Oreochromis niloticus: one gene and its partners. The protein of the gene in region 2 interacts with the protein of the main gene of each other region in a pairwise test. Links are inferred from orthologs where the notes say so. Each region holds a gene or a part of one and is shown on either strand. Other genes may lie near its edges.

What was found.
Region 1: the proteins of ral guanine nucleotide dissociation stimulator (region 2) and rras2 interact in a two-hybrid assay, tested with the Homo sapiens proteins (2 studies listed by BioGRID and IntAct). The link is inferred for Oreochromis niloticus from reciprocal best matches to the Homo sapiens genes RALGDS and RRAS2.
Region 3: the proteins of ral guanine nucleotide dissociation stimulator (region 2) and kras interact in a two-hybrid assay, tested with the Homo sapiens proteins (3 studies listed by BioGRID and IntAct). The link is inferred for Oreochromis niloticus from reciprocal best matches to the Homo sapiens genes RALGDS and KRAS.

What each region holds. Positions count from the first base shown.
Region 1 is NC_031965.2:19,878,135-19,888,535, reverse strand, and holds the start of rras2 (ras-related protein R-Ras2), read right to left. Parts: upstream 5,180-10,401; 5' UTR 4,719-5,179; coding exon 4,617-4,718; intron 1-4,616. Other genes in the region: copb1 (coatomer subunit beta), read right to left, coding at 7,717-7,776, 8,112-8,267, 8,552-8,641, 8,808-8,953, 9,072-9,191, 9,297-9,441, 9,792-9,971. UniProt on the Homo sapiens protein: GTP-binding protein with GTPase activity, involved in the regulation of MAPK signaling pathway and thereby controlling multiple cellular processes. Regulates craniofacial development.
Region 2 is NC_031977.2:33,215,993-33,226,829, forward strand, and holds the start of ral guanine nucleotide dissociation stimulator, read right to left. Parts: upstream 4,866-10,837; 5' UTR 4,641-4,865; coding exon 4,452-4,640; intron 1-4,451. UniProt on the Homo sapiens protein: Functions as a guanine nucleotide exchange factor (GEF) activating either RalA or RalB GTPases and plays an important role in intracellular transport. Interacts and acts as an effector molecule for R-Ras, H-Ras, K-Ras, and Rap.
Region 3 is NC_031972.2:57,149,867-57,160,968, forward strand, and holds the start of kras (GTPase KRas), read right to left. Parts: upstream 5,309-11,102; 5' UTR 5,039-5,308; intron 4,351-5,038; exon of another isoform or gene 4,188-4,350; intron 2,865-4,187; 5' UTR 2,858-2,864; coding exon 2,747-2,857; intron 2,026-2,746; coding exon 1,847-2,025; intron 1,343-1,846; coding exon 1,183-1,342; intron 1-1,182. UniProt on the Homo sapiens protein: Ras proteins bind GDP/GTP and possess intrinsic GTPase activity. Plays an important role in the regulation of cell proliferation.

The DNA of each region.
Region 1 (10,401 bases), on a different chromosome or scaffold from region 2:
GGAGACTGAACAGGTTGCAACATTCTTATGGCAGGTTTTAGTAATTCCTACCTCTAGATTTGCTAACCAAGCTAGCAAGTTATCACAGCCTTCTTGTATTAATATGTCCACTTCAGGCTCCGAAATGGAGACTCCAACGTCCAAAATGCCATCTCAAACCAGTGACATCAGATGACTCAATATTGAGTCTATGGTGAAAGTTACTGAGGGGCTTATTTGCTCTCGCTGAGGCTCTACTCTGTGAGAAGCCAAGGTGTGACCACTCAATAGTGTTAAACAAACAGTTATTCTCCTCACCTACCCCCACACACACATCTGCCACATCCTACACTTAAAACGAGTTTACTGTTATACTGGTCAGTTTTAGGAGAATGTTGTACTTTCCCTGTATAAAGTGCTTTTTTACTTTAATTAAGCACTCAAAGAACTTTTTACCACAAGCCAATGCAATCATGCACACATACAGCACTTTATTGCCTATAGATACTTCAATGACTAGACTGGAGGAACCGGGTATTGAACCGCTGATCTAACCATCTATTTTCCAATTGGTAGATGACCGGCTCTGCCTATGGAGCCATCCCAAAGTTCATCATCAAAACATAAAAGCAAAGCCGAGTGGAGTTTATTAGGCAAATTTCAAGCAGTCTATGAAAAAGCAGACAGAAATAACTACTCGTCTGGTGTCTGCAGGTGTCCGTGTCTGCATCTGAAAGCAAATATAATCCTCAGCTTGCACGAGACATAACGACAAGACATAAACTTCCTTATAAAAGAAAAAACACCAGTCAGAATATGCAGTGAATGGAGCTGTTTGCACTCATTGGTATGGTATTTGGCATATGACTAAGCCAGACAAAAAGCTACAAACCGCCCGTATTTAAAAATGGGCTGAGAGCATGCACTGTGTGGAAATACATAAAACAATCTCTCAAAACTAGACATCAAACGCACATTCACCAAAACATTGTTGCAAAGCCATTGCCCAGACACCTGTGGCTGTTTCTGAAACGGCACCCACCACATTTTTACTCAAACACTACTATTACAGCCATATCCTGCCTCCACATGCTCAACCAGGGCTGCTGCCCTTATAATCCAACCTTTCTGTTTTTTTCTACTGAGCTGCTACTTTTGGCAACATGTCCCCTGAAAGATTTCATATCTGACTAATCAAATCCATTTTAGAAGTTATGAGAGATGCAAGTAATGAGGCTGTGTATTAGAGAAACTGGGAGAACACATGTGCTTTAGCTGTAAATCCAGCTGAGGTCTACAAAAATCCTCAGCTAATCTGTCTGGACTTGATCAGTCAGGATGTTTCGCTCTCATTTATGAATCTCCATGGCCAGGGGCTGCCACCATGCTAATATTAGCAAGCATGTGAGAAAGCAACACCACGCTTCACCTCAACATCTCGAGAGCTGTCTCATGCTGGCGGCTTCTCTGGTAACCCAGAGTAAATTGAGAAGGGTTTCTAATATACCATGATTTCAGGGATTTTTTTAAAAAAAGGCACAGACGCAACCCACATGCAGTACTCACATGGCTAACGTGAGTCATCTTTTCCCTTACTTGGGATGCTTCCTGCCTCGCAGACGTCACATTAAACAACACGCAGTGCTCAACAACTTTTGTCAGATGACTCAATGTTATGTCATCCTAACGCTATTTCAACTTGAGTCGAATGCTTGGCATTAGGGTGGCCAGCAGCCAGGGACCTGCCACTCTTTGTTATTGCTAGCGACATCTTTCATGTTCTGACTCCCAAAAAAGTCCCAAAAAGTCTTTTATTTTAGCTGCTCAGGAACCTCAAGATCAACATTAGCTAACACACCTCAGGACTAGCAAGTGATTAAAATGTGCTCACGCAATATAGATAAAAAAAGCTGGCATCAGATGATCAGCCACATTGACGAAGTGCTTTTTAAAATGCCTACCGTGCTGGTGCTTTGTGGTCACCCACAGCCACCCCAACACAACAACGATAAACATTTCAGCACACAAGCAAAATTCTAAAATGTGATGCCACAAGAGGATGATCTAAATATATGAATCCAATGGAAGTAGATAACAAAATACCTTAAATATCTCATTTTTACTGGTTTATTAGAAGTAGATCTTCTAGTCAAAGTCTTAATCTGTGATGACCCTCAATCCTAAACATAACCCACCCCAATTTTCTGAAGAAATCCAAACTTTTTTTTTGTCCCCCAATTCCAAAGACTTGAGGGAACAATTGTTTTTTGAAACCGTAGAACAAAAAGTTCTGATAGTACAGGATGTGGGTCAGAGTTAGGGTTAGGGTTGGAGTTGTCACTGATGACGACTCTGACCTCAGAGGGTTACTGACAAGATAATAAATGACGTTAACCTGTTTCACCAGCAGCTGACGCTAAAGCTATGAGCAATATTTCATACCATAAAGGTGATTAAAAGCACATTAATGAGCAATGTAGGAAAAATCTATTAGTGGAAAAAGAGCGTTTGCTAAAGAGAAATCTAACCAAAGAAGGGTATTTGGGATATATTGAGACTTGAGACACTTGCAGTCACTTCATCGAGTATTTTATGTTTTTGGCAAAACACATAAAACTAAAATTAGTACTAGTCAAAGTGACAACTAACACACACACACACACACACGCACAGAATTCCAGTGATTCAGGAAGCAGGTCATGTTTTTCCATACAGAACTAGGAGGTCCTAAGAGCAGCAGTAGAGGGACTTCCTTTGCCAAAGGGCCAAATTCCACATGGTCCGTGACCATTAACCCATCCAGGCTGACTCAGACACCTCCGACCCCTCCACCACCACCACACACACACACACACACACACACACACACACCCTCAAACTCACAACACTCAGCATAGTTCTGAGTATCGCCTCGACTTCACAACCAGCTGTCAGGTCCACCCCAACACAGCACAGCAGGCGACTTCTAGAAACCTCTGAAGAGTTTGTCACTTCTCCACCTACTATTTCTATCACCATCACGGCACAAGACATGCAAGCCGGCAGTAAGAAAAACACACGAGCTAATTAACTGAGGGAGCTGCCGAGTACAAGATACATATAAAAGGGGACATCCAAGCAAAAACCTCAGTCAGCAGTCAGTTAGCTGATTTGAAAATGAGTCTGTGAGACCTTAGAGAAAGCTTTATTGCTAAATCCAGGTCCACCTCGTGCATGTATGAAGCACGTTTTAAATGATTATTACATATGACAAGCAAAACTACAAATGAGAAAAATTCACAATGACATTATCAGCGTTACTCCAGTGGTGTTACCATAACATCTCAAGTGTTTCCCCCCAGTTCAGGTCTATCTGATCCCTTCCTACTTGGTATGCAGTTAATGAGCTTTTTGAACCCTCATTAGGATACAACTCTCCCCCACCCACCCAACACACACTTGCTCACAAGCTTCACAACCCACCCCCCCAACTATTGTCTGTCAGTGTGGAGACACGCAGCTGCCTGCCTGTCTTGTCCCCTGCAATCCAGAGCAAGCACCAGTAACACAGTGACACCATGGTGGGCACACACACACACACACACACAAGGCAAAGGGCAAAGAATGTCATCTCTCTCATACAGTGTGTGTGTGTGTGTGTGTGTGTGTGTGTGTGTGTGTGTGTTTGGGCCCTCTCCTAAATGGCGATTATGAAAGCCTGGAAGGTCAGAGCAGTGTCTGCACTGTGCTGGAATGCAACCAGGCATTACAGGGAGGTAAACTGTTTACATGCCTTTTATATGTGACACCCAGCGAGCTTTCTTCAAGCAGGCTGCTGTAAAACTGATGAAGAGTGGTGGAAGCAACCTTTCATTTCTATAGATTATCTATATTAGTGCGCTTGCTTGCCTTTGGTTTCAGCTCGAAATGAGGTTAACCAGCAGACTTGGTGAGACTCTGCATCAGAGCACAAAAGTTAATCATCTCTCAATGGACATTTTGTGCAGCTGCTGCTTATTTTACAGTCACCCAACCTGAACGGATTTTCTCTGTCTAGTTCACATATTTCCAGTGAGATCTGGAGGATCCGTTTTGGTGGCACTTAAAAAGAACTCAAACGCACTTTTTCCTCTTGAGAGTGACACAGAGAGATACCACTGTACCAACTTTGTACAGCTTTTACATCCTTCTATTTGAAGTATTACATTGTGTGGCTTGGTGGGCCACTGCAACCCCTCTCAAAAAAAAAATCACAGGACTTTTAACAACTTAGCACGAACTCTAAATCCGCTGCTTTACTTTGCAGGGAAACTTAGGTAAAAGAAAATAGGACAACTCTTTAAGCTCCAAAGACCCACTTTCCTTTCTCTTATGACTAGCGGCTGTACAAACTGCAAAGTGGAAGTGGTCCTCTCGGAAATCGTCGCGTTAAAGTGACAGACGTTTAATTCTCCATATCTCGCACTAAAACCTCCCCATCCGTCCGACAGTCGCAGGCCTCGGCAAAGTAGTGAAGAAAAACAGACCCCGGTGTCCGTTTACGGACGGATACCCGTGTCCGGCCTCTCCCTCCTTGTTTGGCCGTGTTTTTTCGGGCGAGCGTGGAAATCAGAGCGAGGCTTACATTCGCTTCAACTGCAAGGTTTACCGCTACTGACCTGAATAAACTGGATAGTCAGGGCTGATTTCCCGACGCCACCTCCTCCGACCACAACCAGGCGATACTTCTCCTGCACCGAGCCGTCCTTCCAGCCTGCCATCGAGGACACCGCCGCCGCTGCCGCTGCCGAAACACCAGTGAAGCAGCAAACACCCACTTTTCCCCCTGTAAACTGAAGAGGCCCTCGTAGTTGGAGGCACCGGAACGCAGATACAGAGGCCAGCTACGTGCCGAAACAGTCTCGCCTGTGCAGCAGCCCCCTCTTTCTTTTTTATTTAGTTGTAGGGATGTAAACGAAGAGGGATCCCGATCGGAGCTACCACCGCCTGTCCATACGCCTGACCGCGTTTCGGGCTCGCCAACACTGCACCGTTCAAGATGCTGATCCGATAGTTAAGAGTAATCAGCCAGGCTAATACTGATGTCTGACGCTAGGGGCTGTTTCTAGAGGCAGTCTGCAAACTGCTTCAACACCCTCCTGCACACACACACACCGACGCAAGTAGACCTCAACCCACTCTGCAGCTCTACCCTGACACTAATATCATGCACCCTGCAGTCACATTCCTGTCCTCAAATGGCTCTGCGCTGTCTGCTCGCTGTAATTACAGCCAATTACGCAGTGATAACGCGCCCCGCGGCCGTCGTCGTCGCAACGTAAATATGGTTTAAACATGCTGGAAGTTACTAGTTTCTTCACTTTTCAGTACAATGAATAAAAAAAATAAAAATAGGTGACATTTCTTGATATGTTATCTACAATATTTCCACAGCTTAGTGGGATTTAAACATTTTGTTTGTGCTGTGCGCTACATCCAAGTTTAGATAGATTTAGTTAGAAAATAAACACTTATTTTAATATTCAATTATTTAAAAAAAAAAAAAAAAAAAAAAAACAACTTCCCAGCACAGTGGGGGAAAATAGGTTTTGTGGACAGATAGAGCAAAGGGAGGAAATGCAGTAAAAGTGATGTTTGCAGGAGTATTTCTGCACGCTGCACACACGCCTGCTGCTGCTCCGCAATTTACGATAAAATGCGCGTATCTGTGCACTTCATATGCGACGTCATAACTCATCACGCAGGTGGAAATTGAAAGTGGTGGACTGTGATTTGTGTGTTTGTTTTGTTTTTTTTTTTGTTTTGTCCCTTGTTGAAATTGACTCATACCAGTTACAATCTAAGTTACAACCTTTTATTTCATTGCGCAAAGGTCCCGACTTGTGTTGTCAGCACGTCACGTCGTGATAAATCCAATATTTAACTGCATTTAAAAAAACAAACAAAAACAAAACATAAAACACCACATGGCTTTGGGACCCATGGCGCCACCCGGTGTCCAAAAAGAGAAAACGCGGGGCGTCAAACTCCCTGGGAATGGTTTGTGATGTTCACATGGATGCTTCGTACGAGCAGTGAGTGCTGTCAAAGATTCAGTCGTACCCAAGTGATTTTAAAATACAACACAAAATATTATATCACCCAGAGGAATTGTGACAGTGATCCTTTGTTTAAGATGAGCACTTTGTGTCTACATATTAACGTGGCAAAGCAAGAAAATCACCCAAAAGCACAATGCCAAAGTCATGCCTTGTGTTAGAAAGTGTAGCTGTGATTCTCATAATAACTATGCCCGAACCAGACAGTCTGTGCAGTGCACACGGCAGTTGGAGTTGGCTGTTTATTTTCACAGTTGAAGGTCTGACCTCAAAGCCACCTTTCAGCCTTTATCTAAAACCCCTGGAGGGAGATTTTTACAGATACTGTAAATGTATGACTGGGGTGGTGACCCTTTAATCTGGCCTACTCCCAGAAATATCCCTTTACTCATAAATAATAAACTGGAGGGCGAGTGGAATATGGAGGCCTGTGCCAGCACTAATCTATCTCCATCTCATTATCACGCTGACAGTGAAACTTGCAGATGGCTCAGAGAGCTCAGTTCAAATCTTGGCAATATATTACCTGAGGTTAAAAGAATTTATGTTCTTGCCCAGGTTATGCATGTAGACGGACATTTTCAAGGTGATGTCTTCAGTTTGGAGGTACTGGCGGCACAAATTCCAATCAGTTACCCCACTGTGGGAGATATTACAGAAGGAATCTGAGGAATTCTAATTAGATCCCAGAGCTACGATCACAAGCTAGACACTCTCTTCACTTTGGGGCACAACGTCCTTTAGGTAATTGTAACAGCTTCTTCAAAGATAATTACTAAACATCTACTGCCATGCACATTAAGGCAGGTACAGCACAACCTTCCATACTTTCCAAAAGAAGGCATACAATCCAACTACATTTTTGGGTTACCGTCATGCTGGAGATGCTCCCAGCTGTCATAGTGGGTGGGGTGCACCCTGCACAGGTTGCTAATCTGTCACAGTGATAACACAGGGACAAGCAGACACTCACACCTATGCCCAATCTAGAATCTAGACACTTTACAATGAAAGGCTCCAGCCAGCAGATTCAAAGCTATTACTAACCACTGCTCCGCCATCTCCAAATTCAATTCAATTCAGTTTTATTTATAAACGCCAAATCTCATCAAAAGTCACCCCAGGAAGCCTTATACTGACCCTACAAAAAGGGTACAAACACTTATTTAATGATCAGTGGTTTAGTTTGGATGTTTTTCCATCTTATGGCTTTAATAATATCAAATTCAATATGAACCTTAATGGTTGTGGCTGGTACTAGAGGATTCTTTTTTTTTTTTTTTTTTTTTTTACCCTTTTCTTATTGAATTGAACTTGAATTCCCTTCCTTTTGCATATACTGTCTTAAGTTTCTTTTATAAATTGCCCTATTTTGAAAAGAAAAAAAAAGAAAAGAAACACCAATTAAAAATAATGAGGTGTTAATAAGAAAAACGAGCTCTTAACTCAATGAAAACACGACCGAGCATGTTTTGGACATTATTTCAATACATTTATTGAAAATGAAACGGGACAGGGGAAGCACATTGCCGAGATGTAGTTTTCAGAAAGAAGTGATGTTAAAAAATATAAAGCACAGAAGTAACCGACCATATAAGAGTTCATATCTGCTATGACGATGATCAAACAGTAAGTTAGGTGACACAGAACAGCAGCTGTTTCAGACATTTGCCTTTTTTTGGGAAAGGTTGATCTTGTCACCCAGACTCAGGGCCATCCCCTGTGGAACAAAGGAAGGAGGGTTAGCTGCGACACATGCTACACATTAGCATATCTGAAATACAGTGAAATCCATTTGCATTTGGAGATTAATAAATGCAAATTTTTCGTTACATGCATGCATTTAAGGATGAAAGTCCACACTTGGGGTACTTTAGAGAGGCAAAAACGGTGTCACTATGCAAATACTTGCAGAACTGATTAGTTATTTCAAATCAAATAAGTCATGTGATATTTTTACAAATGGATGTACTGCTTGACTGAGGGGAAATAAAGTCCACCCAGCCTTTACCTCTCAGATTCTTAAGGGTTCACGGTGTGGCAGCTGTGACCTACCTGACTTTTAGCTCTAATGCGTATGTGTCCATTGACAGGTGCATCGGGCCCCAGGTGGAGAGGCTTCTCAATGCTGACATTAGCCAAGGCATCTTCTCCAAAGATAGAACGAGCATAAAGGTTGGCCGCCATGAAGCCACAGAAGCCAGACAGAGCCTTGTTTATAAGAGAAGAACGTCGGTTAAGAACAACAAACAACATCACAGTATCTGCACATTCATCTTATAAGGAAGCACTGGCATGTCTTATGTTTACATATATTCTTTATATAGTCAGCACAAGAAAATATCCTGCTATACGGCCACTAATGATTCTTTCCGATGTGCACTGGTGCCAAAAGTTTTAATTACCTTTGTTATTTGTATTTGGGAAAGCTGCCAAGATTTAAAAGCTTGTTTACTTTCCTTAGTCTGCGGTTTACATAATGTTCTCATACCAACCTTTTCAGGAGTCAAACACTTCATGTTGGTGGACTTGAGGATATGCTGGAGATACTCGTTCAGATCAGTGATGTTGGTGTTCACTGTCACCTACAATAAAGAAAGGACAATCAGTGCTCAGTGTTAGTTGAATGTACATCAACTAAATCTATTTAAAAAAAACAAAAACAAAAAAAACTTTTAACAAGTCCAACTTTTTGCAAAACCAGTCAGATTCCAGGAATGTGTTTTAACCCGTTTAACCCCTTAAGTTTACCTTGTTTTCCCACTCAAACTCTGCCCACATCTGTCTGAATTCTGCATCAGTGCAGGAGGCTGGCTGGATGTAGTCCATGATGTCAATATGGATGTCGCTGAGGACAACGCAGTTTCTGTCGCTAGCAGCTCCTGACACATCGTAGACTGAAAAGAAGAATCCAGACATCCCCACAATTAATTTAAAAAAAAAAAAAAATGCATATAGAAAAAAAATGGTGTGACTTGAGATGTGACGCTAAAAATAGACATAAAATTCTTTTACCGATGTTTCCAAATATAATGCCATTCTCAGTAGATGCCACCTTCACATTGGCCTTGATGTTAGCAAAATCATGAGGGGCCAGAGTTAGAGGTGAAGGCTTCTCAACCAACTTAAGATCGCCTGCAGGACAGAAAGTTGAATTACATTAAAGTAGAAACCAAATGTGTGCGGCTTAAATGAGAGAAAAAACATCTTTTCGCCGAGGCTGAAAAAAACTACACTAACCTAAAGTAGCCAGCTCAAGTGTGCAGTTCTGAAGAGTATCACTGGTCTGGTTGACCACCAGCACATCCAACACAATGTCATACTGGTTGACATGAACGTAGGCTTCAGCATAGACTGGATCTGAGAAGCCCGTCAGCTGGGTCACCTAAGTTGGACAAAATGCATTCGTTTAATGATTAATAAACAACCAAGTACAAACACTCCCCAAACACTTGTTTATTATCTTTTAACAACCTATTAACAGCAAAGCATGTGCACAACAAGGGCTTCAGCAGCAGGTGCTGCTGTGTTGCCAATAATATGAAATAATATGAACTGTAAATAAGTTAGACTAAGCCGTAAACTTGAAATGCACTCAAACAGCAATAATCATTCCCATTCACTCTTTTACTGTTCAAAAGCACTATTATCTCCTAAGTACTCCAACATTCATCTGTCAAATTAATTTCCAGTTTCCTTTTATGGAAAGGCTTTTAGGGGTTAAGTATGGTGCACCTTGTTGAGTTTCGATGCCAGAGGATCGGCGGCCTCCTTCCTCTGAGTGTTGCCCATAGCAGCCAGCAGGCTGAGCTGGAACTGGTCCTCCTTGGAAGTCATCTCATTTTTGGCCGTGAGCTGCATGAAGGATATTGGATCGTCGGCCTGGACCGTTACATTGCGTTTCTCAGACTCTTTCTGTAGTCAGAAGAAGAAACACGTGGTTATTTTTGGAGGAAATAACAACCCCAATGGAACAACAACAACAACAAAAGTATCTATAATGTAGTCTAGTATAGTGAAAATAACACAGTATAGCAAGTTACAAAAAAGACATAAGAAACGGTTGTTCAACAGAAAGAGAATAAAAGCTGATGTTATTGTGCAGAACTAAGAGAAACTGCAAAGACAGAGACAATGCTGCTGTCAAGAGAAACTGGAGCACTATAACAAAAAAAAAAGTTTTCCATTGGTCCCAAAAGTCTTATGTATATACACAACAGGTTTAAATGATCATCTAGGAGTGTGATATTACTACACTCCTCCTTAGAGGATCACATTACTACCTATCAGGGTGCAGGCTCTTGAAAACAAAAGTTGGCTTATAAACATATAACAGGTTTCGTAT
Region 2 (10,837 bases):
GTTTACATTGATTTTTTTTAAATATGCTGATAGCTGGTGCTGCAATAACATGGAGAACATTCACTAAACACTAAGGGGAATGATCTATGAAAAAGTCCCTGCACTTACTTCCTTCCTAAACCGAATCAGATCCTGTAAGCACAAAGGTGAACAGAGTCCCTTGAACCAATTGCTCTGGGAGTTGCTTCGCTGGTTCTCTGATGTTCTCTGCAAACTGATTTGTAATTGAATGAGCTGACAGTTTGAAGTGCTCACTGTTTCTCTTGAGACGGGCTCGATAAGCAGCAGTCTTTGTTCAGCAGAGTTTTATGAAAGGTTCGCCCACTGATCCTGCTGCTTTGCTAACGGACTGCATCGTTGGTAATTATGACTATTTTTAGCTTGAATGCACTGTTGTATACTGTTTGGCTTATTGCATCTGTGGCCAAGGGGGCTTCTTGGCTCCTGTGAAAATTAGATTATACAGGGTTGAAAAAAAGAAGCAAAAACACGGTTACATAAAGTCAAACAAAGCTGGTAAAGAAAAAGAAGAAACAAAGCACGATGCACAAACAGCCAAGGTCCACACTGTTACACAGAGAGACCGCTTAACTCTTAATGCAATACATTTGTACCAATCAAATGGCAAAAAATAACGAGAAACCCTCTGCTAACTGAGGTTAACAAAGACTATCCTCTTCAGCTACACGTGGACAAGTTGTGGTTGTATGCACAGTCACCCCTCAGAGGCCCATTTTGAGCCAGGAAAAAAAAACTCTGCATGAGTGCAACTGTTTTATTATAGGGTAGAAAAAAAGCAATTCCATCAACCTTGCCACATCAGTGGGTCAGTTCCTGCAGAAAGATACAAAATGTTGTAGAAGTAGGTCGATAAATGTAACTTGGTCAAGCACATCAGCTTCAACCTCAATTTTAAGCAGGCATGCATCATTTTTATGCCTTTATTATAACAAAACCGATTTTACAAAGAACCAAAATGCCCATTAATCGCCCTAAACAATCATCCAGTCGTGACACAGCACAGCATCATTTTGTTATTAGCCTCACACTGCAGTAACTTCATCTCGCGGCACACCTCCATTTCAAAGCCACTCGATCCTCTCAGCTATACGATACAGTGCATTGAGGCTGATGTTGCTGGTTACATGGAGCCAGAGGGATCAACAAATAGCTCAATCTGACCGCCGGCAGCACCACACCAGCCCCAGTGACCCCGTCATGCTGCAACACAACCTCAGCATCAAATAACATTCACGGCTTGTGCAGCAGGAGGGGAATAAAGGCAGCGATTGTGGAGGAAACCCCTCAGCCTCTGCAGGAGGGGGATTAGGTAATTGTGTTAGAGCAGAGGATTAGATTAGAGCAAAGGGACGAAGCAGAACAGGTTAGTAGGGGATGGGAGACCAGCAGGGGCACACTGAGCCAAATGGGGGGGGTTTAATAATGAACCTCTGATACCAGTCCAGTCTGACCGAAGAGACACCGGAAAGTAAAAAGAAGAGAACATGTAATCCAGGTACACAGACTGGAATACATGGTCTCCATGGTGACGTTGCCATACAATCCTTGGCTCCGTTTAAGACCAATAAATATGATTACTCATCCTCTCAACCTTATGTGATCGAATGTTCGAGATGTATGGAGCACAAGGCTGGAAAACGTTTATTTAATCCAGAACAAAGGCAATTTTTATAGTTAGCAATGAAACCATATCTATGAGCCTGGGTTTAAAGAGGACAGCTAGGCGGGGGGAACATGAGAGTTAGAGATATGAAAACAGTGTAGTGATAGAGAAGCAAAACACACGTGATCTTCATATACTGCAGGGACGATTTCCTGTTATTAACTGCTCTAAATTTGCAGAGCAAAGAAAATATTTGCATACCCATAAACCTCTATTTAATTCACAACAGAACACAGAAAACATATCATAAATATAACATTTTACACAGCATTGAAACTTTCACGCAATTGGGTTTGTAGTGTGTTCAGTCTTCTAAAGTCAAACATGTTAACATGTTCCGGTTTAGTTTACTAAAGAATAAGATAACTCTCCCTGTGTTTGAAGAGTGAAGCATTTAACCTGCATTCTCTCTAATGCCCAGCAGGGGGAGACTTTTCTAGTTGCACTGACTAGTCAGATTCTTTATGAATAAAGACCCCTGCTGCTCACTTGATCTATGACCCTAGCAAACGCTTTCCTGATGAGTTTGTGGTATCAATCGTTAGTTTTACGTCTTTTAAAATACATTTTATAACTTAAACTGCCACACAGACTCAAAAACCATAAAGCACAATATATCTCAATCTCATTAGTTTGTTCCATCTCATCTCAAACCAACAAGATGGTGACAGCGAAAAAGTTCACTCTGAGGCTTTAAAACCTCATTAACAAAAAACTGAATGTGGTCACACACAGCTCCGTGCAGAAGTCCTGCTGAACCGCGCTGGCTCATGCAACGTGACAGAGACTGAAGTTACAGGGGCACCAGCCAGTGGCATCCTAACATTGTTGAACCAGCAGGCAACTGCTGTTGTACTTCAATGAAATAAAAATAATTTGTTCAATCAACTAACATTTTTAGTGCCAACTAGTGGCTATGTCCATCTTTCATGTACAGGCTATGATCTGAGCTCTACTAGCATCACAATTCAACTCTATAGGAACACAAACAAGAGTCTAATTCTTGATTGTCCATCTGAGGTCTAAGACAGTGATCAACCCAACCTCTAAAAACTAGGGCCAGGGTAGTGAAGGGTTGGTTTTTATCGCCTATGCTGACTTAGACAACAGAGGGTTCACGTTACTGTGTTAAATCTGCTCTTTAGCCCTCCTAGAAATATAAATACAGTACACACAACACAAACACTTCAGCAGCTGTTACAGGTCTGTTTGTTAGTAATATGTAGTGAAAACACGAAATACAAATTAGTAAATGATTAATAATGTGAGATGCTGTCATCTTTTAATGGCAGAAATATGCAGTTTTTCTTGTTTTCATTTCAGTAAAAATAACAGCTGCTCAAGATTTAACGGCTCCAGTGATGCAGACATATCAGAGCACAAATAATAAGTGAATGCAGACAATGACGTCACCAACTACACCCCAATTTAATCAAGCATCCACTCAATTAAACCTGGACCGATCCACGGAGGCCCAACCCAGAACTCAGAGGCTCACGGTTCCCTCGGAGGGTGTTTTTGATGTAATACACACTGAAGTCATTCTGCTGCGTGTGTGCTTTTACTTTTAGATTCACTTTGATCGTGACCTGAACATGTAAAAGCATCTGATTCGCTGGCTGCAGCTTCTATATCTGAAAACCCGCTTGTTTCTTCGGCTTTCTATGAAATTACACTAAAGTATTTCTGTTTCAGATTGCTGATTGGACAAAAGAAGCCATGTGTAATCTTTATCATGACAACTATTCTAACAACGAAACAATGACTCAAACAGCTGGGGTAATGATCTACAGATTAATCTGTAATTACAGTAATCATGGCCACATTTAGAACTGCAGCGGAGCTTCCTAAAAATGATACAACTAACTGAATGGGTTTACATTTGTCTGATGAATTAGATCAGAACCAAAAACAAAATCTTAACTTCGCTCCTTTGTTAGGTGACTTTGTTGACCAATCAATGAATCATGTTGCTGCAGTAACAGGCCACTACATCCTGTAACAACTAGTGAAACTGTAAATAACACGATTGATTCAATGTATGCCCGCACATGTGGAAAAACCCCTAGAAGTACAAGCGACCGATGCAGAAAGCATCGTTCTGCAAAATGACAAACGACCACTCTCAGTATCAAACGTGCAGATATTTCATGGCATTTGGTGAGGTTTGACTCAACAACACCTGCACAGGAGGGTTTCAGTATCAAAGAGAATCAGAAGGAGGGAGGCGTGATAACCACAGGGCTGAAAGGTTCAATAACAACATGAAAAAGCAAGTCATCCTGTAACTGTACTCTAGTGCCAAGCAGCACCGCAGCATCATATTAGATTTCCCTGTATTGTTATGTTTGTTATGAGACTGTATTAACACTGTAAGATGCAGCCAATCAGCAGCTTTATACTGATAATCCGTTTACAAGGCTTAAAAACACAGGATTAGAGCGTTTATGGCACATTGCATCACCTGGGTGACTCACCATGTTGAATGTAAGCTTAATTAACGCAAATTTAAACATGTTTTATGGGCATAAAAGTAGATAAAGCTTTGAAATACGAGGATATAAAGCAGAAACATCATAAATCTCTGTTTTAACGGTAAGAAAATGTTTCTTTAAGAGGACAAGTGTTGTGTTATTCCTGCAGAATCGCAACCGAAGCCTGAAAACCTCTTTGGATCCACCCTCCTCCATGACAACACAACAAACCGCATCAGCTAACGGACCTCTCCTTGCCTCCTCACCCTCCTCCTCCTCCCCATCCTCCTCACCTCCACCAGCGGCAGGTCAGGGTCCAGGTGGGTGAAGCTGTGCAGGACCACCGGGCTGCGGTCTTCAACCACCTCTAGCCTCACGCCGTCCCAAATGTTCCGCACCCTCCACGAAGAGTCAAACATCTCGAGCAGCTGGCCCGGCTTGACGCTACGCGCCTCGGCTTGCATCCCCGGGAAATAGACCATGGATGCCCGCAGAGTTCAGTCACACCCCCGCGCTGACATTTCTAATGTTTTTTTAGGGCTCCCACAGACACACACTGCCGCTACCGCCTGAGGTTAACGCTTCTGTGTGATCATCGCCTCTCTCAGTACAGTTTATCACGGCTCTGACTCACACCGGGGCTTTTCTAAACCCCGCCCCCAGCTATCGGCGCCTTCAGGGCTGTCGGATAAACCAAACGCACAGGATGGCTTTAGCGAAAATTATGTTTTGTCTTGTATTTAATCCCACAAATTATACACATTTTTAAAAAGTTATAACTTTAATTACATTAACGTGAATACAACTTTGCAAAATTGCTGTTAAACATCTAACACGTACTCTTCATGGAAAAGGAACAAACTACTTCTTTCATTTACTTATTTTTCATTTACACAGATGTAATGAAATGCTATTAACGATACTTTAATGTTTATAACTACGGTCGTCACCATATCAGACTTTTACTTTGTGCTAAAACAAAACAAAAACAAAAAACACTCTACGGTTGTTGTTGTTATATTTTTTAGTCCAATTATAATAGTTTTCATTTTTCTCTTCTCCAGTTAGTTTACAGAGTGAGTTTGCTCATTTCAGTTAATTTTTTCATTGTTGGAAAATATTTTGTTCTACTTTAATATTTTTTAGTTTCAGCCCTAGTTTTAGATTTGGGTTTGTTTTTTTTTGTTTCTTTGTTTTTTAAATATTATCATCTGGAGGTTCTCTATCAGGGACAAAATTAAAATGAGTATTACAACAGAAACACAGTTTGTGACGGCAGTGGACTCACAGACATGCAGACAGCCTATTATCTCAATAAGCACATTCCCCAAAGCCTCATCACTCAAATTAACAGACCAGAAGTAATGTTATTTAATCTGCATTTTAATTTTATAGTGATTAATTTTCTAAGGTCACAAAATAATTTTATTTAATTACAGAAGTTTATATTTGCTTTTAACTTTAATTTCAAGTTTCCCACATTTTATTTTATCACACCTAAATTTAGGTAACTAAAGTAACCTGGGGCGACACAAGCACACTATAAAGTTGTTATGTATGAAACGGGAGTCTGCGAGACGTCCCTGAAGGCAGCACTTACTCCCCCGCTCTTACTCATGTGTCTGGGAAATGACGGCGCTGTTTGTGCCTTCACTGTGGCAGGAGGACTGTGTGGGAAAAGAAAACAGTGAAGTCTGCTGGAGTTACACTTTTACCGTGAGCCCAGAGCAGCTCAGCAAACAACACGAAGCTTCCCCCACCTTCTCCTCCACTGTTACACTAAAGCACAGCTTAAAGGTGGCGTACAGTTTAAAACAGTACAGTGCTGCTCTAACACCTTTCAAAAGGGCAACTTTGTACTTTTCCCTTAGTTTTCCAAAGATTGATTATGCATTAATATAAAAAAACAAATTACCTGTGAGTATGATAACTCGTTATAAAAGTCTAAGTCACACTTCAGCAGTTTTACTGAGATTATAGCTCTTTCAAGAGATCATTTAATTATAATTGTTTAGGTTTTTGTTTTGTTTTTTTGTCTTTTTAGGTTAATGGTTTGAGTTTTAAACATATTTGTGGGAAGATGACAAATAAATATGTATTTAAATGGGAAAAAGTCTAATTTTGTGTGTCTAAAATCTAAATTTTTCAACTTACATTTTAGTGTTTAACATTTTTATTCCGTTTTATTTTGATTAATCAAATGTATTGCGCTTTTACTTTACACAAGAAGTATATTATATTATTTTTTTATTTAGATCTTCACTTATTGAGCTTTTTAAATTTTACTTATTAGATTTTTTCATTTTTGTAATTTTTACCCTATTGATCTATTTAGCTTTGTCGCTGTTCTTTTTCTAGTCTGTTTAAGCTGTTTTGTCATAAGCTGCTGTAACTCTTTGCCAACTTTTAGAATAAACACATCCTGTCTGATCTTACTATACTTAGAAAATACAACAGGGAAAATCAGCAGGTCCTCAGATGAAAAGCTTGAATAATTTTTCCAAAATAAATGAGCTAAATTACAGATTAATATCGAAATAGCTCGCTGACCAAACTTTTCAGCTGCAAACAATTAGGAGCAAATGAAACAAATCCTCACTGAAACCACCTGAACACAAAGATCTCAATGTTATATAACCTTATCCTGCACACACCTTTTCAAAGCACTGCTGCACACCATAAAAACAAACAACCTGACTTTAACAGTCAGAAAGCACCTGAAAGCACCATCAGGAAGTCCCTGTTAGTAAACTGAATTTATTTGTGTTGTGGTTCAACAAACGCATCTTGGGGGAATTTTAGGGTAAGACTTCAGAGAAAGAACCTGAAGACTTAACGTCTAACGCTGCCCCCTACTGGTCAATGTCAGGAACAAACGTCTCCAATCACACAGAACAAATCTTAAATTCACCACAGCCTGCTTTAAACAGCAGAACAAAACCATTACCTAACTGTTACATTATTAAACCTTGATTTTCATTCACATGTTTTTCTTTTTGGATTTTTTTAGAAACAACCCACTGCTTTTCCACGCCAAGGCACTGACAGGTGTCAAAACGTTTTAGAAAATTTAAGGAAAACATCTGCCGCACCAGCTGAGGCTGAATGCAACCACAAGCACGTCCGACCTTTCCTCACCAAGCGGCTGCGCTTCATAACTCAGAAATCTGCAGCTGCCCGACGTGAAGAAGACGAGTGAGGGAGCAACACGGGTTTCTAAAAGTTTACACAGATTTAAGTTTCCAATAAATCAAGACAGCCATGGTTCACTGTGGAAGATTACAGTCCAGTGATTAAAAGTGGGAAAGGAGATATTTCCAGACAAATTTCAATTATTGTCACCACACCAATGAGCCAGGTCCTGTAAAAGCAGGTTTCCTGATATAACATGTTTTAAGTGTTTGAAGAAAGGTTTTGGTTTCATTTCACTTCATTTCTTGTACCTCTTGGGCAAAAGAGTGGTTAACTTTGTCCCCTCACAGCATGAAAGTCCTGGGTTTGAATCCTCGGGACAGCTGGGGGATTTCTGTGTGGAGTTCTGCAGGTTTTCTCTCTGGGTACTCTGCTTCCCCTCACAGTCCAAAGACATGCATTGCGGTTATGATTACTTGTGACTCTAAATAGCTGTGTGTTTCCGTGTGTTAGTCCTTCGACAGACTGGCGGCCTGTCCAGGATATATCCTGCCTCTCTCCCTACGGGATAAGCTCCAGCCACCTGCGACTCAAATAAGTGGAAGAAAGAGGATGCATGGATGGACTTCATTCCTTTTTAATTGGACAAATCACTTACAAGTATCCTTGATTACAAATAATAATCAATAATCAAACCATATGAGTCCATTTTTAAAGTGCATATTTTCAAATTGGCTCTGTGACCTCATAAAAAGCTCTGAATGCTGCATCTGATCGTGCAGCCGTATGATCAAATGTGGCTGTTGCTGTTTCTCTTATCACAAATTTGCAGGATGTTTATTTGAAAGCTTTTTATTAAAGTTTTTGTCTAAAAAAAGATAGAAATTTCCAGTTATTTAAATGTTTAAATTTCCACGCTTTCCATATTCTTTTAAAGATTTTTAGTGCCAATTTATTCCCAGTCCCTCAGTGGCCTGTCCAGTGCTTTTCTACCAGGCTGCAACAGAAACATGAGGCTTTATTTATAATCATTAATCAGAAGCAGAATCAGAGAGACTTTATTTATCCCCAAGGGGCAATTAAGATACAACAGAGCAGCAAAAACTATACTGCAAAAACGGCCAGAAAAACATCCTAAAGTCTGTTGTAACACAAAGCCTGACCCAGATGGTAGATCGGTTTGAAAGATAGCGTAACCCATGTCGAGCAAGACGTGACTATTCGCCGTTTCATCTGCACAGAGAACAGAGCAGCAGAAAGACTGAAAGTCACAGAATAACAAGCACTGGTACTAATATCTGCCCTACAAAATAACCCACATGGGCTGAATCCCAGAAATCTGACAGAGCCTGGAGGGCCGGCCAACTCTGAGTCTGCTGCGATTTAACTAAAGCTCTTTTTCCATCTGCTGGAAATCAACACCAGAGGATGTTGTTGTGCTGCTGCTGCTGCTGCTGCTGCGGGCCTGGCTGATGTTTTACGGCTCCCCGAGGACGGTGACGCTAACAGCCTGCATTACGTTCTTATTTTCTCACACAGAAACACTCGTGCTTTTACTGAGAGGCTGCACCCCCCGACCTACAGAAGAAGTTTCACAAAAGTATGTGAGGAGGGCAGATCCAAACGTCACTAACCAAAGAAAGATTCCCATCACGACGAGGGTAAAATTAAAATTAGGGCAGTGACATCAGCGGCTTATTTTAGTCCTGCTGACACTGAGCAGTGCAGAAAGTTCTTTATTCCTCCTGTCAGGAGGCCATTTAGCAAGGCATTAAAGCTGGGTGGTTATCCTGGGTTGCTGCCAGGCGCTCAATGTTTCCTCCAGTGCTTCACAAACAATAAACCTGAAACAAATAAAAGCCAAAGGGAGAGCCAGACATAGACTGGATATCGAGTTATGTAACAAGAGGAAAATAACAAGCCCATAAATCACGATAAACGGATTAATACAAGAAAAAATAAAGATTCACGTTCAAAACCCTTCTCCTAATAAAATCAACTAAATCTGTATAACTCAACTTCAGTGACCAGGCGTTCACAGCTGATGATTTATGGTCTGCAGAACTGCACAGAGCACAGGTTTTCATTCTACCTCAGATAAAAGAACCAGAGCTGAGGACAGACAGAAGCCTAAAGAACACATTCAACCAATCTTGGCACAGTTTAATCGCACCTGTGAGCTGCCTTCTATTATAAATAACAATTAAACCTGTAAAATCTTTTCTTATTTCTGTAATCTGAAGGCCTGAGTGAGTGTGAGTCATACAGAGAAAAGGTCTGGCTTCCTGTACATCCTGTCGTCTGAGGTTGACAGCTTCTAAGCAGAGCAGACAGCTGAGGTCAGGCGTCTGTGCTGCTTCATGTCGCTGTGAAGCCAGCACACTGTAATGACAGCTAATGGGAGCAGATTATAGAAAGCGAGGCATTTATTCTTTCATTTCACATGGAGCGATTGGTTCTTGGTGCAGACATGTCGTGCTGTGAAGTCAGATTAACTCAAGAGCCGACCTGAGCGCTCTCGCTGTTACAGCAATATTCGCTATGTGGCTGTTGGACACATTTCATTTTAAACATGCAGGACGCGTATCTGTACCACATCTTTAAGACATTTGGACCATATTTTAAGGAAGTCCTAAAATCATTGACAGGCTTAAACGTGTTGATATTAATCTTGGTCAGTGTGCTAGTAATCCCTGTGAGTCCAAAGCTTGAAGCCTAAACGCTCTGTTTCACACAGTTTTTTCTACTCTTCACTCTGTGTGATGTCACTAAGAGTCAAATTTCCCCTAATATGGTTATCCCAGGCACAGAAGCCCCACCCACCCATCCCTCTTGTCACGAGGGGCAGCCAATCAGAAGACAGGGACCTTAAAAGAGACAGAAGATTGCCTGCACAAAGGCCGGGTATAAGATAAACAGGGATTATTTTAAACTGCCAATCATGCAAAGCTCACGTGGAAAGGTGAGAGAACAAAAATATGGAGCTATAAAGAACCATAACAGGTCCCTTTAACAACAGCATCACAGAGGGGTGCAGCCCACACTTGGGAAACCACCAAAACTTAATTTAAAGAAGAGCAGAATTACAGATAGAAAATTAGTAAAAATGGAAAGAGCATTTGACAGCTAAAAAGCAAAACAAACAAACACAAAGCTTTCACACTTTAAAATCTTTTGAATCTTTCCACTCCAGGTCATATCTGTTAATCAGAAGAATGTCAAGAGTGCCAATGTGATGTGTCACATGTATCACTTCAAAACAACTAAAGTTTCTACTGAATTATTTGCATAGTTTAAACAGCTGAACAGCTCACTGTTCAGCTGTTTTTTTACTCTCTACTTCCAAGTGAGCAGATAGCAATCCTGCTTGTTTTTTACATTCACCAACAGAGTTTTAAAAAAAAATGTAGAGAGCACACCCAGATCATTGGCACAGATCATTAATTCAGGTTTATGACTCATAAATATGACTATCACTCATAATGCATCACTAATATAAAAAGGGTGTTCAAAACAACTTGTGGTATTAAGCTGCATTAGCATCAAC
Region 3 (11,102 bases), on a different chromosome or scaffold from region 2:
TTTAGCAGATGCATTTGGGAATCTGAAATGGAGTTACCATTACTTCCAGCAGAACAAGCTTAAATGCTTCTACTAGAACTTTATTTTTTCTGATGAAAAGGGGGGGGGGCAAATGTGGCAAGCAGGGTAGGTCATTAGCGAGGACTGTGTTGGTGTGTCCAAAACCACCTCCGTTATTCATGTAACGTGTGCAAGTTGCAAAACTGTATGTTGTTTTAAAAACAGACACCTTCCAAGCCTGTAGTGGCCGAGTGGTAACACAGTATTTGTTTGGTATCATTTTAAAATTGTGTATTGTGCACATTGTGCGTTTCCAGAGAAGATTAAATTATTTAAGAGTTGAGTAGCCATGAGTGGCTTCAAATAAATGTAATAGTTCCGGGTCCAATAGAAGCAGCACTGTGTGGACACTGAACTTCCCTGCACCAAAAGGAACTATGATTCACCCCGGATCAGAAAACACTAAAATGCGCTTACAGATCACTCCAATAGCCAGTCTGCTACCTAAAGCCATGCCCACAACACACACCACTGATATCACAGCAACTCTTCCAAAACCCCAGACACAGCAACCAGTAAGCAGAATCATTAACCCTCTGATTAATTTCCGACACTTTGCCCTTTCATGCAGAGTCCTTGACACCGATTTGCTGATTATTTATAAAGCAGGATCCTTTGCAGGTGGGCCTAATAATGATTTAATTCACATATCCGTGACAAAGCAGCATGCAATGATTACATTGTCACCCATTAAATTTAAATTAACCAAAGAAGATTTAATGATGCACAACGTGTTACCTGAGACAATTTCAAGCAAGATCATCATTTAAAAAAAAAAAAAAAAAAAAAAAAAAAAGACCAACAGAGATAGCAACACAAATCAACAATCCCTCATGATTCAATCACATTCTTGTGATCCATTTCCCAAAAATCATCCAGCCGTGTTAACACCTCACAAAATTACCATCAGCTTACCTTTTCTGAAAAAACAAAATTTGATAAGAAAGGGGCATTTATGGAAATGACGAAATGACCAATAACCCTGAGACCACATGCACCTCCACACCATTTAACATGCTCTCCAAACCTCCAGTGCAATCCCACAACAATTTAGTGACAGAGTTGACAAATTAGAGCTTTGAGTCTTGAGGACAACGCCCAGTCTGTGGTTGGGAGTCTCACCTGTCTGGTTTTGGCTGAGGTCTCAATAAAGGGAATGCCGTAGCTACGTGCTAAGTCCTGAGCCTGCTTTGTGTCCACTGTCCGGGACGGGAGGTCACACTTGTTCCCCACCAGCACCATGGGGACGTCCTCAGAGTCCTTCACCCGCTTAATCTGTTCTCTACACAGTCACAGTCAGAACAGGATTGCAGTTTTAGTTTCATTTTACTTGTGTAGTACTCCACTGGCTATGTAATACAATCTTAGAAAACACTGTTCAAACAAACCACACTGAACAAACAAAACACTTGTAGTGTACAGAATGACTTTCTATAAACTGTAAGTGTCGCTGTAGTTTTGAGAAAGAAGAACATTAATGACTTAAGCTCACCGCCTGACAGAAGACTGATACACACATACTCTGCTGTAGTTGTAATTCCTACAGTGATTTTTTTTGTCAAATAAATTAAATTTTAGAGTTTTTGTTTATATTTTAATAGAGCATCCCATATATTTAGAAATATTTTAGTATCTCAGTAAGTTAGGGGGTTGCTACAGTATATATATTATATGTTTTTGTATATACACTTTAGCGACTTGGACACACAGCATGTTATCGCTTAGTTTTAAGGAAACTACTACATACTGGGTCCAAAGACATGAGGCATTTTCTCCCCTAGCTCACCTATAGTGGTGAATGTCTTCAAAGGACTTGGTGTTGTTGATGGCAAAGACACAGAGGAAACCCTCCCCTGTCCTCATGTATTGATCCCTCATGGCGCTGTACTCCTCCTGACCTGCTGTGTCCAGGATGTCCAGTAGACATGTCTCTCCGTCAATGACTACCTGCTTTCTGTAAGAGTCCTGGAAGCAAAAGAAGTCCAACAAACATCAGAATCCTGGAATTTAGTGGTTTAAGAGTCAAAATAATACAATGAGATGATAGCTTATTTAATAATTTTTAAATAGATTTTAAGTTACTCTAAATGTGTTGGCTGAGTGTGATTTACCCATGATATCACATTTTTAATCTAATAATTACGGTATTTAAAGTTATGAGATGATTTCAATAAAAGACACCACAGGACATTTTCTGTTCATTACACCAGTAGGGCACTTCATTTTTCAGCAGACCTCATATTACAATGAGCTCCTCATTTCTACTGTGTCGACGTACTCCAGCTTTTTATTACACTGATGACTACACTCAATCCCATCTAACACAAATAATTAGTCTTTGCTCCAGTGAACAGCCATACCTTTGGATGCTATCTTCTATTCAATCTATATCAATGGTCAAACCTCCAGCAACAAATCAATAATTAATTGAAATCATGATGGGACTTAGTTTGATCATTGGCCTTTTGAGAGCTCGGGCAGGAAGACATCCATTAAAAGTTCTTGAAAACCTGTTTGGTGTCTCTCTTTAAAGCTTAAACCAGTAAAACCTGTTATAACTCATTTTTTTAATATATTCACATATATATGTGTATAAAAACAGGACTTACAACTTGTGCTGCCCCCTTTCATATGTCGACATATACACAAAGACACAGGAACAGAAACATTCAATATTTTTCTTTACCTCAATGGTGGGGTCATATTCATCCACGAAGTGATTCTGGATGAGCTGAATGGTAAGTGCGCTTTTGCCAACGCCACCAGCTCCCACCACAACCAGTTTATATTCTGTCATGATTCACCTGTAAGTTTAAAAAAAAAAAAAAAAAAAAAAAAAAAACCACAATCTCATTATATGATTATCTTCAGTGAAAGTCAAATGGAAAGTATTAGTTTATCTGTCGCATAATCAATGCCTCGTGCATTTTTCACTTAAAACAATTTTACAATCTAATCGCATTCACACCTTGTAATTTCTCTACAACAACGCGTATGTTTACTGGAAATCTGCACACTCAGGACTGGCAGAATGAGAAGATAATATATGAACACCACTTCCAGTGAGTAACTCAACTCGCCCTCAGCTATTCTTTTAATAACACACCTGAATCACTGGGAAATTAGATTTCACACCAAATTTAGTTTGCTTTTCACAGAGAAAATGCCCATTTTAGTATTAACCAAGAGGCTTGTAGAAGAAGCTACTATCGCCACAAACACAATAGATGGCTAATCTGCATGCGTTTGTATGCAAATGGAGGGTATAAACAGAAAAAACCCAAATGGATTCACAAAAAGCTGCTATATTATGAAATATTCTTTAAATAATCAATTGAAATTTCTGCCTCTGAAAATTGTCAGAAATATCAAACATGAAATAAAATGCATAAAGATGAGATTATGCATATATGTAATTAAATGTCTAAATTCAGTAGTGTTTTCTGAGTGACAGCTCCACAACAGACGCCAACCCCAGGCAGATATCCATGACATTACATTAAGGTTCCAAAATTGACAAGCAACTGGGAGGGCCTCTGCTGTGTCTGCTTTGTGGAGCAGAACACATCAATAGTGGTTGCTGGTGGTCTTTTCAGAAGCTACAGCACAGACAGCTCGGCCCAGCCTGCAGTCAGGGAGGAGTGCGACTAAATATTATTGCTATGTCTAGAATGCTATGCATTTGCCCAACTACGAATAAACTGGTTTGTGCTCACAACACTTTTCTTTACAAAATTGTCCCCTATCATTTGATCTACACACTAAGTGATGTACACATGTCACCGATGAGGACGCTATCTGTAAAGAAACAGCCTTATCTTTAACCTGAGCAGATAAAACCAATGCCAATGGCGATTCCTCTGTGTGTGCCACATGGCTTTCACGTCTCTATGTCTATGCTGTCACTTTGCAGCATACTAGTCAGTGAAAGTGGAAAATGAATGAATACAGCAAGCTGTCAAGCAACAAACACCAATTTAAAAATAAGGAATGTAGCTCTTGTACTCCAGTAAGAAAATATAATTTGCGTTTTAAGCACTGAGATTTTTTTTTTTTTTTTTAAATACAGTAAAAGAGATGCTTCAAACTGTGGCAAAGTTTTGATACTGTGGAAGGTCGATGGAAACCTTATTTCCTTAAGATAGGAGTGTGGCACTCGTGGCTGTAGCTTGCCTCAAACTGAACCCATTAATGGCATGCAGTGCATCCACCTTTATGTTGACATTCCTGAAATCAAGGCCATTCCCAATAGAGGAAGAAGGGGGGAAAAACCCACTGAACTGAAAATCACTGCGGGAGAAAAAAAAAAATCACCTATTACACAAGAAGACTTATCGATATTTATTAGCAAACATATCGTTATGCTAGTTTGGAACGGTTAGCCGGCTACGTGATTTAGCTTTTCAATGAAAGGCCACCTATCATGCTTCAACAGGTAGAAACATCAGTAGCATACTTAAAACTCAACAGGGAATTTGATTTAAATTCACCGTTTTGCGGCTACAGGGTTACCAGAAAGGCTGTGTGAAACCCTCTGAGCACCAGGCTGCTGTGCTGTTAGCAAGCTTAGCATTGGAGCTCGCCAACAGCCTCGAAAGTAAACTCACCATGAGACCACATCAGCTAACTTAACGTATTTAAAAATGTAACTCATTAAAAGGAGCACTAGCTCCACCGTGTAGCCCGACACACTCGTTATCATTCATTCAAAGGGGAAGGGTGCCAGATTTTGAAGCCGCCATTGATAAGCTAGCTCACAGGTCTGCGTTGCAGGGCCAGACGGTAGGTTAACAATTGGGCGTAGTTAAGTTCAAAAAACCGAAAATGAATAATACCACAATAGCGGTGTTGGTTTGTGTTTAGATAGCGGGCACTGTGACCGACTAACTACATTAGTGAATACAATGTTTCGACGAGCACTAAAAAAAAGAAAAGAAAGGGGGGCCCAACATGTAATAATCTCCTCCATTTGTTTTACCTTTTACTGAGTGGAGTTCCGCGTCCGAAGTAGCGACCGAGTCAAGCTGATATTCCTCTCGTTTCACACGATCTCTGCATTTCCTATTTCTCACCAAAACTCCCGCATTTAAGTTGATCTGTCGTCGGTTCAGAAGCAAGAGACAACATGCGAAAAAGTGAACAAATTAATCGATTGAACTTTCCATTTGATCCAGGGCCCCGGCCTAGCTGCTCCGTCTGGCCTGCTTTACGCGTATATGGGCGGATACCAGGCGTACTTTTACCCATAAACCATAGCAGGATTTCAACCGGTCTGGGGCATTTATCTCTCGATGTGTGTATGTGTCGCAATATAAGTTGTAATACACTGTACTTTGTCATTTGTGTGCGCACTGCTGCTCTTTTACACAGCTTTCATTTATGACTGTAGATTTATATAAGCACTGATTATTCTACTATTAGTGGAAATGTTACGTTTTTTTAATTCAAATATGTGTTTTTTAAAATTATTATTTTTTAATCAGACTGAGAGGTTCATATCAATACTTTAATGATTGAAATGATTAATGATTTCATTGATATACCCACAGAGGTCACAATTTGTAGGACTTGTGCTCTGACTGCTGCTGCCTGCAGTCAACAAAGCCTAGGGGGCACTCCACGAGCCTATTTATAGGCTCTAAATATAACTGGAATGTGCAGGAGGGACGTCATTCCCAGGCAGGAAAATGATTTGGCAATCCCTTGTCAGTTTTCCTACGTGTTCACAAGGGTTCCTCCTGCGCACTGCATTTGCAGGCGTTCGTAACAAAAGACAGACACAAAACCCAAACTTATGTTTAAGAATAAAAGGAAAGAACAGTATATAGCATGTTTTTGTTTGTTTCTTGTTTTGTTTTGTTTGTTTGTTTTTTCTCTTTTATTCATGAGGATTATTCCCCATTGTATCAGAAAGGTTGTTTTAGTGGATTCTGTCTGGGACCTTATACTAAAAACATTAAATAAATAACATGCAGCAAACATAGTACGTTCTTGTACCGTAAAATAATATGACGTTATTTTTAAAACGTAATGCATTGCTTTCACATTGTACAACAGACACGTTAGAGGGCACTATTGAGCTCTCAATTACATGTGTTGCTGGGTTTAGAGATCATCAATTTACACATTTGTGAGAATATCTAAATCACTTTTTCAATTTTGAATCACTTTTTCATTACTTTAAAAGATGCCAGGTCAGAGAGGTACAGGTAAAAGGTAACTTTACAGCTGAAATAGACTATAATCAAATGCTCAAACGTATTAAGGTCACATCATTCATTATACTGTGAGCAAATAACAGTAATTATCATAATCTGTGCCTGGAATTTTACATTAGCGTCAGAGAAAATGCTGCATTTTATCTACATCTCAAAAAATATACTGTGTGTAAAACTAAGGAGGTAGTTAAAAGAGGGAACTCTTAGAGTTCCCTCTTTTCAAAGTCATACACGGTTCAAATGTTAATTGAACAAAAAAAAAAAAACCTCAAAACCCTCCTATCTACCAACGACACTCTAACTATAGTTAACCTTCGTATCTGGCACTGTTATTTGCAGACATGAAAGCAAATCTTGGACAAAAAGTAATTTCCACAGTGACAGGCATGTTCCAGCCACATGTTCATCAATAAGATCACGTCCATAACTTTTTGGACAAAGATACAAATGTTGTAATTTTGGTGGACAATTGTCATATTACCTCTAAGCCGCAGAAAATGAAATGCTTTAATTCTTCAATAGTTAATGTCTTTTTTTTTTTTTTTTTTTTTTGCTAAGCTAAAAATCTGTACTTCACTCACATCTCGATTGTTTGATTTAGAATCTACAGTGGTGTCACACAGGGGCAAAACTACAAAAAACTAATGTGTCACTCTCCAAGTATTTATGAACATAACTGCACATTAAAGAAGCTTCTGTGCTATGACACATTTTACTCATTGTTTGAACATTTTGAGGAAAACTCCATTTGAGCACTCAAAACACTTTTTTTTTACTACAAGACCCATTCACACCTCACTTTTATATATGGCTAAGGAGTTTTTGTCTAACAGTTTCACACACACACACACACACACACACACACACACACACACACAAACAAAAGGTGTTTCATAACTTTTTTGATCAGCATCCTATATGTTGGTCCTACAGTCAAAGTACCTTAGTACCCAAGTGCAAATCAAAATTTTAGCACTTAGCCATTGATCATAGCAGTCTTGTGCAGCTGGTGATATATCCAATGAAGAGACATCTAATGTAGAATGAAAAGCTTGTGTACTAAAATCCAAGAATATAAGGTGACTAAATATATATTTTAAAGATCATAATATATGTTGAAAATGATCTAACAGACCTTTTTTATATATCAGACATTATGGGATGTCTTAACAGGAAACCACAAGTGTAACCAGTAACACTAATGAAGTTGTATTTGATTTAGGTATAACTTACTGACACACTCCACTCCGCTGTGCTTTAGTTTTGAAAGCGATTTGGCAAAGATCAAATTGGTTATTACAAAAGCGATTATGCACATCAGTAAAATAAACATTTATAGATTTAAACAAAACCTCTGACGAAGTAATGTAAGCCTCACCAGACGTGTTGGGTAAGAGCACTTAAACCACTGATTGCACCACTTCTCTGTCCTTAGAGTTAAGGATTTAAGAGGAAGGTCTGTTTTGTCACAAGAGGGCACTAAGCCTCCGTTTATACGTGGTCTCACTGCTGCAGGCTCATCTTCATCATTTGCATCAGTTTGAATGCATCTGCATGCTGTGTATTTGCAAGAAACTGAGGGAATGTAAATGCAGCCTACAAATTCATTCACGTGATTTCTAATATGAATATTTGACAGTGTAAATCGGCTGTTTGAAAAAAATAAGTGTTCGGAGCACCAATTTGACCTTTTTTCAGTTAGATCATAGAATGGTGATTTATCAGGTCTTTATGTGAGCTTGGCTTTATGGTGTCTCAACAGAACTGGAAGTGAAACACGATGGTGTTTAAATGTCTATTTTTCACTCTTTTGGTGCAGTCTAACTGTAGTTCAAAGCTTTTTCGCTCTCTCAAGGGCAGATTTTCAGTCACAGCCTAGGCGACATCCCCCCTTATCCAAGTATTTCCTTATCTAAGAAAACCCTGCGTGGTATCTTTCTTCTTCTTTTAAAAAAGTCTGCGGATCTGTAAAAGTTGGCTGGAAGTCATCCTCCCCCTCACAGTGTATTGCAGCTTTAAAACAGTCCACAATGCCTTGCGGTGCGTCCCAGTTCCAATGCGATGTATTTACCAGCAGGAGTAATGAAACGGGGGAGAGGGGCTTTTTCCGCAGCTTATTGGTGAGACCGCAAAAGACTGTGTGCCTAGAGAGGACTGACACAAACTTTCGGACCGCGGATTGAAGCGTCAGTTCATCTGTTTCGGTGGGTTTCCTTAGTCTCTGTTTTTTCTGTTTTCGAAACGTGACTTTGTCGCAGTTCGTTGATAGTGATTTACTGGGCAATGCTGAAAAGGAGGATGAATTTTGCGGAATTCACTCCTCTACCTGTGTTTTCCCTCTAAACTTCAACCTGGACAGGGAGGACTAACTTTAATCCAGCAAAGGTAAGACCGTTACGCAACGCTGATTATTCGCAGATTGCGCCGCAGCTGAGCCCGCTGTAGTTGCGTGTAAGGCGGAGATAACGGAAACATTTCTGTAGTAGAATTTAGTTGGGCTGCTCTGGACCCACTACAGCCCACTATCGCCATTTCTCCGGCTTCCTCCCACTCGACACCAACTACAGCTCGAGCTACACAAGCAGCTAGAAGGTGCTTGTTTTTGTCTCATGAGGTGTTTCAGCTCACAATTCTCATTGCGTTATTTCATGTGAATTTTAGAAATATTGTCAGTTCCAATCATGGGACGTGTTTTCAGTCTATGTTTGCCTGTGTTGTGTTGGCTTGCCCCTGGTTTTTCCACAGTATCGGGTAAACTGCAGCATCTTCTGCAAATATGTCAAGCGCGTATGTTCTCAAAAGTATGTATGCATGTTTAATAATGGAATAATCTGCATATAGAGCCACTTGGTTTATTCTGTCTAAAGCTCCAGTGCTTTAACCACTTTGACACACACAAACCAAGTGCAGAAGAATCAACCTGTGGAGTTGTTGCACTTGCACAATGTCTTATTCTCTGCAGCCTTGGAGAATTGCTTGGGTTTGGTAGCGGAATCGAGTCATTTGGTGGTCTTTTCTGCAAAGCACCATGAAGACCAGGCTAAAAACAACCACCTACAGACTGGAAAAAAAAAAATATTTAATTGGCACTTTTTTTCGTGGCTGCCACTTCAGTTGCTCCTGTAAAAACCATTTGAGTTCCATAAACGCATACGCAAGAGTTTGACTCACAGCTGCAGCTTTGCAAACCACAGTAACATGTAAAAGAAATTGGCCAAAGGCCTCTGGTTGCCCCGCTGAGCCGCCGCTGTGCTGCCCTGCTGCAGGAGCCTGCTGCTTGGCCCTCTGGCTCTTTAAAGCTGGCTAGTGAGCAGAGAATATGGCAAGGGAACAAAGGCGGCATTATTGCTGGCTGAACGTGCTGTCCAGATGTTCCAGATTCTGCCAGCACTGACCTCCCAAATGGGGGAGGTTGCTTCAGTGCTTAATAGTTTAATATCAACCAGACGGAAAAAAAGAGAGAGGAGCAGCTCCAGGGCAAGGGGCCACTGGAGACATCCCAAGAGCTGTGGGTGCTGGGTGTAGCCTAACTGGATGGGGGTTTAATCCCAAACTCTAATATCTTCAGAAGGAAAACACAAATTCTAAGGAGGTGCTGGAAACATTTTTGTCCTTATTTTTGAGGTTACCTTGGTGGCTTGTGGCATTTACCTAAGGCACACACATTTAAAAAGCTTCACAAGCAAAAAGTATGTTGAATGCAATCCATTATCTTCTGCTACTTTTTCAGTGGACTTAGTATTGGTGCAATAAATGGACAACAACCGTCAATTGGGAATCCTCAGTTTGAGCTTTGCAAACGCAATTTTTCTGACCTTGTAATTATTAGTAGTATTGTAGGATTCATGTTATTTAGGTGCCATTACCTACTGTTGTATTTTCCATAGCCACCAGTATCACTATGCAAAGGACCCCATAGCTTTCTTATCTCTTAGTCACGGCCTATTGGATTCTCACAGCCCAGGAATGCATACCCTGTATGTTATCAGTTTCCACTCTCCAGGATCAAGGCCTTTCTCTGATCCTTACCATGCTCTGTGATGTTTACAATTGCACAGGACATTTTAAACACTCTAGGCTGCCATATCTGTGATGAGGAACTTCTTTATCTGGTCATCAGTGCAAGATGGATAACTTTTAGCCACAATTGTTCCATCATGTCATCATGTCTTACATTAATTAAAAACTTTTGCAGTCACAAGTGATTGAAGGGCAGGGATTATACTTGTTTATGTAGTTGTAGCGCTTGACTAAAAGGGAAGCAATAGATTACTCCAGTTTGTTCCAACCCAGTCGCCTCCACAATAAAACCATCATTTGTCTCTGGCTGCTCACAGAGATCTATTTCACAACAGATCTGTTACCAATTACAGCAGAGTATAAATTGCTACTAATTGCATGCTGCTCTGCAGGGTGTGCAATTTGAATTAAAGTTTGGTAAGTAATAGGCTGGAAGGTTTAGAGAAGACATGTGTTGCTCCAGTCTGTAAGAAGGATCCTATTGTATTTAGTTAACAGCAGTGTGGGGGAGTTTTAAATCTCAGGAGGCTTCTGCTATAAATCTTTATTAATAAAGACTCTTGAATACGAATTCCAATAATATTGCAATGCCTGAACCTCTGCTAGTAACATTGTTTACCACCTTGTTGAACAATGGTTAGCAAATATAGACAGAAACTGGAATTTTTATAAGAAAAATTTTATTTTATAGTCTTGTGTTTTTTGTTTTTGCTGCTTTACAGGCCTTTTCCTCGGTGAAGCACACTGGCTTTGATGTCCCCTTGTTCAGCATACTGATAAAATGCACAATACACCTGCCAGATC